Linked DNA regions of Drosophila melanogaster. The protein of the gene in region 2 interacts with the protein of the main gene of each other region in a pairwise test. Each region holds a gene or a part of one and is shown on either strand. Other genes may lie near its edges.

Region 1 (6,270 bases), on a different chromosome or scaffold from region 2:
TAGCTGAGTAGATCGATCGTTTGGTGTCGTAATTCGAGCATTCACTTTTAAAGCTGTATTACACTTTACAAATAATCGCAGTGGAGCACACAAGAAAATACATATGACTACTACTATATACATACAGCCCTATCTATATGCATATTAAAATAACTCGTTTGTGTTGATCAATGAAAATAAACTATTTATAATAATGAAACAAACCAGCAAAGGTCTTTTACTGCCAATTGTTTACTGCACTTCAATATTCGCCGGTTTGTTGGGTGTGAATCATACACAATTATTGTATATCAGCAAAGTGCAAGTTAATCTATTACACAGCTTTTTAAAAATATTACATCACCATCATCGCACGAGCTTATCGCATATTGCAGAATGAGTTAGTTGAAAACCTGAAAACTTTCCAAAATGATTTCAAACTTCAGGTACGTCGAGTGGTAAAGAGATTATTTATTCTTAATAACTTTGTTGCCTTGTATTCATACAACGAAAAAAAGTTTTGAAAATTTAAATTTATTTAGAATAATATCGTGTTACTTTTCGATTCTCTGTTATCATTATCATTCGAAATACAGTATAAGTATAATAATTAAATATTCTCTGTCTTTATAATAAATCCTTAAACATCACATGAAAAGTTTTTCTGTTGGGTTTTTGCCTTTGTTTTTATAAGTTCTAAACACTTTCCTTTCGTTCTTTGGTATCATTTTCATAATTTTTTCATATCGGGAAATCGAATATTTTCCGCTTGTTTCGTTAGCCTAGGAAAAACGTATCTAGAGTCCACAAAAGTTATAGACTTAGATCAAGACCTGTTTATAAATTTCGTTAATATATAGGTATATATAATAACTTAACAATAGTAAGTACCATATGTTGTGGTTTTTGAGGGTTTTGGTATCTGGGGATTCGGTTGTAAATACGTGTAAATACAGAATTTCATTTGGTGTAAGACGATTTCTCACTTTCTGGTTGTATAAACTCTCCAGCCTTGCCTTGAAGATTAGCATTCGCGATATAGGTAAAGAGGTCTGTATATATCGTTTAACTATAATATCTATATATATATAATATATCGCTTTTCTTGTGGGTGTGTGTTTTCGTTTGGTTTGAGAGTGCATCTGTAAATTGTAGGTACTTATAAACTAGCTACAACACAACACACATGCCACGCCATGTAAAATTGTAGGGTATCCTGTCCGAATTTTTGGTGGCTGAAAAAATCCATCAAAATGCTAAATCTTCTAACTAAGTTTCCTTTCGAATCGTTACATCGTTTGCTTTCTTTTTTTGGCATTATCTAAGAGAGGTCAAGAGTGTTTTTTTTTTTGGTTTTTCGTTTTTGGAAAACGTTGATTTGGCCATAAACTTTTTGGTAGATTTGTTAGCTTCGGTTGGGTTCTGTTTTCATCGTGTGAGAGTGTTTCCTTTGTCTGTGGTCTGAGTTTTCGTGTAAAAAGGTACATGATAAGATTGTTTCACGACTGATCGATCCCAAACTCCTTGACACCACTGCACCTACGTCGCCTGACCCTGGGTGGACTGGCCAGCCAGGCCAGAGGATATCGATGGTGTCGTACTGGTGGATGCGACTGCCGGCCCTCCGGATGCGGCAGTGCTCTGCTCCAGACTCCACGGATGCACCATATCGTAGTACCTGCGATAGTCGTAGTCAAAGAGCTCGAAATCGATGCGATATATCTTGAGCAATTGGTCCAACGTTGAGCGGTCGAGATCGGCGAAGTATCGCTCGACCAGGGCCTCGGATTTAACGCCACTTCGCGCCTGGTTGCCAATTTTGCGCTGCTTCCGCTGCGGCAGCTTGCCCAGTCCCAGGAGCAGCGATTCCAGGCCCGCCTGCCGTATGATGAACTCCGAGTCCCTCTGGAACGTCTCCGTCTTGCCGATGATGGTGAAGTTAACGCTGCAGGGCGTGCAGAAGCTGTAAACTGGTGCCCAGTGCTCGTCGAATCTCTTGCCCGCCGCATGCTCGGCGATCAGGAAGCGGACGAACTCCTCGAAGGTGGGTCCACATCGCGGCCAGGGTCCGCCCAGATTACGCTTCCTGTAGCGATGCACGATCTTGTTGCCCAGCGCCTTGTAGAAGGTGTTCTTGTTGCCCTCCAGTTTGTTGCGATAGGCGCTCAGGATTCGCTCGAAGGGATCGCGCACAAAGAGAAAGGACAGCGCACTGGGCAGCAGCTCCATCAGTTCGCCCAGTTCCGGGCGTGGAAAACGCTTTCTGGCCAGCTCCAGTGGCTGCGTCTCCGTGCGCTGCAGATACTTCACATCGTAGCCAGCTGGAAAGCCATAGTGAAATTTTAAAGAATATTCTTAAGACTTAAATAAATATCCTAACTTGAAGAGGAATATTGAGGAAGATATTTGTAATACCAAATCAATTAAAATCTATCTTTATCGGGTAATAATATAATAAAATGGAATATATATCTCTATATTTTTCAATTCAAGCTTACCTAATATATTAAAGTAATACATCCACGTACTGCTGGCCGCCTTGAAGACGTTGCACCTAAAAGTTAACCAAAAATGTTAATAAAATATAAATAAAATAGAGATGGGATGACCCACTAACCAGACGAGATTGTTGTGGCCAGGCGAGACGAAGAACTCCCAGGGATTCGGTGGGTACTTTTCCTGCAGCTTATACCGATCGCAGACGGCGGCCAGATGCTCGCTCCTCCTCTGCAGCTCCCGCTCCGTGCGACTGTGCAGCTCCTCGGAGTACTCATACACGGGATTCAGGGTGGTAGCCGGCGGCGGCGGCGGAGGAGCTGCTGCTTGGGAGGATGAGCTGCCTGCACTGGCATTTCCCCCAGCGATGCCCTTTCCCTGCTCCTGCTGCTTGGCCAATATCCGCTGGCGCTGCAACTGCTGCCGCTTTAGCTTGAGCTGCTGCTTTGATGGCTCCGATTCCGCCTCCAATTCCGCGGCCGTAGCCCGCTCCCGGTGCTCGTATGCATTGAGGGATTCGCGGAAAAGGAAGGCGAAGTAGCACAGGCCGACCAGGACACAGGCGCCTATCTTCAGATAGGTCTGCAGGCGTCTTCCATAGCGCAGGCGGATGAGCATCTTGCGAATCTACCAGGGATTCCTGCAGCGAGCTCGCTGCATGATCCACGGATGGGCGGTGGTTTCTATGGTGAGAGTGAACAGATTTCATCTCATATTATTATAATGTTTTAAATCTGGATATTTTACCATAAGTTTGAGCTTCAAAGGATTAAGTTTCTGTAAATTATGTATAATATCTTATAGATAGTTATGTATATTTATTTATAAACTATCTTGCAGAAAGTGCAATCCCAAAGATACCCTTTCGGATTCTGTTTTGGCCAGAAAGTGTGCATTAATCTTTCAGCCACCCCTGCTTTTTGGCTCTTTTGGCCAGGCGACACTTGTTGGTGTGTACACACCAAATGACACCCTCTGCCACATACACACGCACATGCCAACATTCGGGCCAACACACACACACACATAGCGACTTGGCAAACTACGTCATCGTGGCCCCAACACAGACGCACTTGAGCGAGTGAAAGACTCGGAAAGTAGGACGTCATCCTTAAGCGTCAACATGACCAGTGGTGCTATTTGCTGTTGCTGCAAGTTGCGCTCGCAGTTGCAACGCCAGTTCCTGCTTAATGTTGGCATGGGTTCACTTGTGGCCAGGACTGGGAATTGGCCGCCAATAGCTGCTGCTGGCACGAAGGCCCAACGTATTCACGGCACCTCGGAGACCACTTGAGCCAAGTTAAAGCTAAACTAGCTGGTAGTTAGCACAGCTGTGCGTTTATTTCTGGATGTCCGGGCAGTAAACCCCTCGCCTAATCCTTGGCCAGGATATTTGGCTTAACTTAACTTACTTTGAAGCGCGGCGGGCGTTAAAATATTTATCCTTTGCTTTTCGGGCGAGCTCCCTGTGTATACTGAAAGCCTACGGCTGCCCGCCTCTCCGCCAGCCCCCTCCTGCTCCTGGGGCCGCTCTGTTACGTGTTGCTTGTGGCTCCGGGGAATCCTGCTGCCTGCTCCGCTTCTGCCGTCCTGCTCGTGGCGGCCACTCGCTCTCAACTGCCAGTCGGCGGCGGATGGCCGCAGCTGCGGGTCCCTGGTGTTTCGAGCCAGCGTTGCTCTCCTCGAAAGCCGACAATCCTCGCCTGGCGCCGGCGCAGGGAGAGCACACCCACTGGGTGGCACTCTCTGGAGTTGCGAACGCTGCTCACTGGCCACCGGGAAAAATCACAGGACCTGCTAGAATCATTAACTAAGTTTAATGTTTAAAATATTTAATCTTTTCCTATTTAAATGAAAGGTTTTTATCAACTAAATTCAAAACCCTAAAATCCTTCATTGCTATACATTTTTCGGATTCCGAGTTATAAAAGTAGTTTTTAAGAACTCATCTTCCAAATTCCCAAAAATTCCAAAACACGGCATTCATTTATTTTTTGTGTATATTAAATCTTTGTATTTTTTTCTTTTTCTATAAATATTTTACTTTAAAGTACAAACAAATTAATAATAAACTTCTAATACTACGTTTTAAGACACTTTCGTTTTTTGTTGTTGTTGTTCATCTTGTGTGGTTTGTTTTTAAATATTTAAATATATCATTTATTTGTTTATGTGTGTTGTTTGTTTTGTTGCCTGTTTGTTTACGAAGCGGTATATAAATTATTCATACGTTCTATACAACATTTCCTCTTCCATTAACGTGTTTTCTGTGCTTTCTGGGCTTATTGCAGATTGCAGATTGCAGTTGGTTGTGGTTGTGGCTGTCCGTCCGGTCGGTCCAAAGTGTTTAAACAAAGTCCAAAGGATGGTGTGGTATGCAATTATGGTTTCGGGTTCTATATACGTTAGTTTAGCGGATCTATATGAATATATGCAGAGTTATGCTAGAGGGTTGGGTTTTACATACGCTTATGCTTTGTTTTGCCTTGCTTTAAAGTAAACATGTACAAAGTATCAAAAGAATTATTTTATGTAGCAATCATACAATATATATATATAAGGTAATAATAATATTGAACAATATATAATGTTGTTTTGTGTGTTTGTTTGTCTAGCGCTTTGCCTTTGCCTTTGCTTTGCTTTGCTTCAATTACTTTACTCATTGTTTTCCCCTATTTGTTCAAGTTCAAATAACATTTAGCAAAAATAGAGCCTGCCTTATATACAATACAACTTTTTGTTTGTGTGGTTTCTTTTTTCACGATATCCCATTTTCTTATGTGTGTTTTGCATATGCAAAATATATAACGTTATATAGTTCTTTTAACTTTGCAAAACGACAGATACTAGACGACTGATTCTCAATATTCTCCACTCATTTCTCCTTATATTTTTTCGATCTGTTTTTTTGTATTTTTTTTTTGTGGTTTTTTTTTTTTTGTAGGTGTTTTGTGTTTTCATTTTTTCTGGTGCTTGGCCTTTTTACATTTTTGACTAACTTATTGCATAGGTTTCCATGTGCATATATTGTTGGTAAAGAATTCGCGTTAAGATTACTGTCCTTAGCCTAAAGCATTTAAAACTAAAAAACAAATTTTCGAAACAACGCAAGCTTACGGAAACTAATACGCTATATATATATATATATTTATATATATCTGTATGTACTGTACTGTATTGTATTCGTATGTTAAAGGTTACAAAAATATAAAACCTAATGTTAACGTGTGGTCTGCTCTGATCTGCTCGATCCAACGGATCAGCTTCTTATAGACTTTCGACTGGGCGCAGCGCTTAAAAGTAGGACAACCTAATGCTAGAAATGTGTTCATGTTGCATCGTGAAGTAGAAGTATCCAAATATTTACAGAGCGGTCCATGGAAATAGGATTTTTCATTTTCATTTTCAAATTTCAAATTAAACTATGCATGCGTGAGAGTTTGGAGATGTTTGTTTTTTCAGTTTCGGCCAACTATATTCTATGTTAGTGTTTATGGGAGCTTCTCAAATACGTTACTCAACTAATTTGTTCAAATTTCATCTTCTGAGCTATACATTAAATTGCCTGTTTCACATGACTAGCAAATCATTTCCAATGGGTGGATTTTTTTGGGGAGTAATAGCAGTGCCAGATGAGAAGGGGTGATTGGCGGATAAGCTCGGACTGGGGGGCAGAAAACAAAGTGTTAACAAAGGCGTAAATCGGCGCTTGCAACCGTCTGTCTGCAGTATGTGTGTATGGGTGGGTGTTTGTGTGTATGTGTGAGAGAGTGTGTCTGGGTGTGATGTTGCTCG
Region 2 (3,712 bases):
AGGAGACACCGGACGATGACGATGCAATCATGGAAAGACGTTGGCAGCTTGGCTACGAAAACTTTCGACTTCGCTGCGAAAAATTCGAGATGGAAGGTAATCAAACCGCTGCTGTGAGAACTCGAATAGCTGGAGGAGAATTGGCCACGCGCGGCATGTTTCCCTATCAAGTGGGTCTGGTGATTCAGCTGAGTGGCGCAGATCTGGTCAAGTGCGGTGGTTCCCTTATCACTCTTCAATTTGTTTTGACTGCAGCCCATTGTCTGACCGATGCCATAGCTGCAAAGATATACACGGGCGCCACCGTATTTGCCGATGTAGAAGACTCCGTGGAGGAGTTACAAGTCACGCATAGAGATTTCATTATTTATCCTGATTACTTGGGATTTGGAGGATATAGTGACTTGGCTTTAATACGACTGCCAAGAAAAGTCAGAACTTCAGAACAAGTGCAACCCATTGAGTTGGCTGGGGAGTTCATGCATCAAAACTTTCTGGTAGGCAAAGTGGTGACCCTATCTGGCTGGGGTTACTTGGGAGATTCAACCGACAAACGGACGCGACTCCTCCAGTACTTAGATGCGGAGGTGATCGATCAGGAACGCTGCATCTGCTATTTCCTGCCAGGATTGGTTAGCCAGCGACGTCACCTGTGCACCGATGGAAGCAATGGACGTGGTGCCTGCAATGGCGACTCCGGTGGCCCCGTTGTGTACCACTGGCGCAATGTTAGCTACCTGATTGGGGTCACCTCGTTCGGCAGTGCCGAAGGATGCGAGGTGGGGGGTCCCACTGTCTACACCAGGATAACCGCATATTTGCCATGGATCCGACAGCAAACGGCAATGACCAACTAAATGCAATTAACGCCTAATTGCAGCCCATTAATTGCTAAACAATATAGTCGGCCCAGACAATAAAACCAATTTGAGCAATGAAACCAAAACAGGTTCTTCTGTCGAGAAAGGAAGGTGCAAATGGTCCATTTTATGTGTGGTTGTTTTCTCTTGAATGAAAATTGTTACCGATAAATAACAATAAACATTTCGGCATTGCAGAAGAGCAAGTCAATTTGGGGAGCTCAATAAGGGCACAAAAGAAAAATTACATTGCCATGGAAATTGCTGATGAATCGCCACTGAAATTGAAATCATTGGGTTGAGTGTCCGTTTTTGGTGAGGGCATATTGGGTACAGACCGCAGCGCCTCCTCCCGCTAATCGCCTTCAATTGGCCATCTGAATTGGCTATTAACCGCAGTGATGTGGTCGGTTGAACGCGTCATAAAATCACGCGGCTTTCGCTGATAAAGAAGGCTGCGGTTGCGAAAACAACTGAAATTTGCGTGTTTGTAATCAAAGAGAGAGTCCAGATACGCAATTGTTAGACGGCGGTATGATTTCCTATGAAGTTTAAGCAGTCTTGACCAACTCACGTCCTACTCCTTGACCTTTATCGAAGGTAAACAAACCCAACTAAACTGTGGGCTTACGGCTTCTCACCCTATAGACAGGAGATAAGATAGCACTCGACTACCATGGGAATTATAAGATACGCTGAAGAGCAAAGCAAACCTTTGCCAATTTTGTATCGCAATATATAGTTATGTATATATCGCGTATGTGTAAAACTAATCAAATTAATTAGCAACCCCATGCTAGGCCTTTGGTATCGCAGCGGCTCGATCTGGAAATCCACTCGAAGCCCATAGCCCTGATTAGATCCGTATCGGGATTAATACTCTTGGATTGGGAAAGTAATTTTGGCGACCGTGTGGCTGAAGTTCATTCATTCATATCTTCGGCACAAAATCTCAACAGATAAGGTAGTTCGAACCGACTTTAGTGGTCCTATCTAATCGGGACAGCTCTATTTCTGAATTGCAACCCAATCGCAGACGCGACTTGGCCAGTATAAAAGACCCCAGCTGGTCCTTGGCCAAACAGTTGAGTTCCCTTAACTGAACAAGCAACAATTCCCAAGATGAAGTTCCTGATCATCCTTGCCCTGGCTGTGGCCGCCTCCGCTTTCCCCGAGCCGGAGCTGCGCCATCGCAGCCGCGAGATGCCCGTCGTTGGCGACATTGGAGGTCGCATCACCGGAGGAAGCAACGCCGCCGTCGGCCAGTTCCCCTACCAGGTGGGACTTTCCCTGAAGCTGAGTGCTCTGTCCAGCGCCTGGTGCGGTGGTTCTCTGATCGGCAGCACCTGGGTCCTGACCGCTGCTCACTGTACCGATGGGTGAGTGTCCCTTGAAGGAATGCCGAAAATATCTTGGAACCAATGTCCTAACCAATTGTATGTTTGATTTATCGCAGAGTTCAGTCCGTGACCGTCTACTTGGGCGCCACCGTGCGCACCTCCGCCGAGATCACCCACACCGTGTCCAGCTCCGACATCATCATCCACTCCGGCTGGAACAGCGCTAACCTGCGCAACGACATCTCCCTGATCAAGATCCCCGCCACCTCCTCCAGCAGCAGGATCTCCGCCGTCAAGCTGCCAAGCATCTCCAACTCCTACTCGACCTTCGTCGGTGACGTCGCTGTCGCCTCCGGATGGGGACGCACCAGTGACACCTCCAGTGGTGTGGCTACCAATCTTCAGTATGTCGACCTGACTGTGATCACCAACACCAAGTGCGCCCAAACCTACGGCACCTCGGTCGTGACCGACTCAACCCTCTGCGTGGCCACCACCGACGCCAAGTCCACCTGCAACGGTGACTCCGGCGGTCCTCTGGTCCTCAAGTCGTCCAGCGAGCAGATCGGTCTGACCTCATTCGGTGCCTCTGCCGGTTGCGAGAAGGGCTACCCCGCTGCCTTCACTCGTGTGACCAGCTACCTGGACTGGATCAAGACTAACACTGGCATCTAGGAAGGAGTCAGGAACTACAATTTCGCTTAAAAATAAAAATCATTTCTAAAAAATTCAAAAGTTTTATAGCTCTATAGGGGGAATTTCGGAAACGTAGATCTTCATTTATAAATTTCTTTACTCAATATAGATCAAAAGAGAACTTATGTTCCCAGTTTGAGGGTCGTCGGTTATAGTAACAATCCATATCGTCTTGTACATATGCTTTTGTCTAAAATCAAAAATCATCACAAAACAGACAAATGAAAATGAATGCAGAACCAAGCTGTTACTGGCATTCGGCGAGTAAGTTCTCATTAAAATTCATTAAATTGCCAAGCGACACAATTTTTTTTTTTTTTTATTAATTTTTATTATTTATTGAATCTTCCCTTTGTGTTAAGAGACTAACAATAAGTGTTCAAATCTTAATCTAACTTAATTAACTTTCACTTAGTGATAGTTTTTTTTTTTCATTAATGCCCTAATAAGTTTATTGCTGGGCTGGGAGGTCGTTGCGGTGCAGCCGGCTTTGACTGCATACTCGGATTAGTTTTCTTGCGAGGGGATTTGTATGGGTGGTCAGCTTTTCGTTATACTTCGTTTTTTTCTCAGCTATTACTTCGATTACTAATTTGATTTTTAGGTCTCTGTGTATGTTTTCGTTCCGAAGGTACCACGGCGCTCCAGTGATAATTCTCAGAATTCTTGACTGTGCTCGCTGAATAATGTCTATGTTACTTCTGGATGCGTTGCCCCACAGCTCGGAGCCATAAGTCCAGATAGGTTTTAAGACGGAGTTGTATAGAAGAGCTTTGAACTCCAGACTAAGTGGAGAGCGAGCATTTATGAGCCAGT

The links.
Region 1: the proteins of Jon65Aiv (region 2) and CG14024 interact in a two-hybrid assay, tested with the Drosophila melanogaster proteins (one large-scale study listed by BioGRID).

Annotation. Positions count from the first base shown.
Region 1 is NT_033779.5:5,310,792-5,317,061, forward strand, and holds CG14024 (uncharacterized protein), read right to left. Parts: upstream 4,105-6,270; 5' UTR 3,888-4,104; intron 3,159-3,887; 5' UTR 3,094-3,158; coding exon 2,597-3,093; intron 2,534-2,596; coding exon 2,478-2,533; intron 2,301-2,477; coding exon 1,519-2,300; 3' UTR 520-1,518; downstream 1-519.
Region 2 is NT_037436.4:6,037,214-6,040,925, forward strand, and holds Jon65Aiv (jonah 65Aiv), read left to right. Parts: upstream 1-1,941; 5' UTR 1,942-1,982; coding exon 1,983-2,239; intron 2,240-2,316; coding exon 2,317-2,875; 3' UTR 2,876-2,922; downstream 2,923-3,712. Other genes in the region: CG6462 (uncharacterized protein), read left to right, coding at 1-857.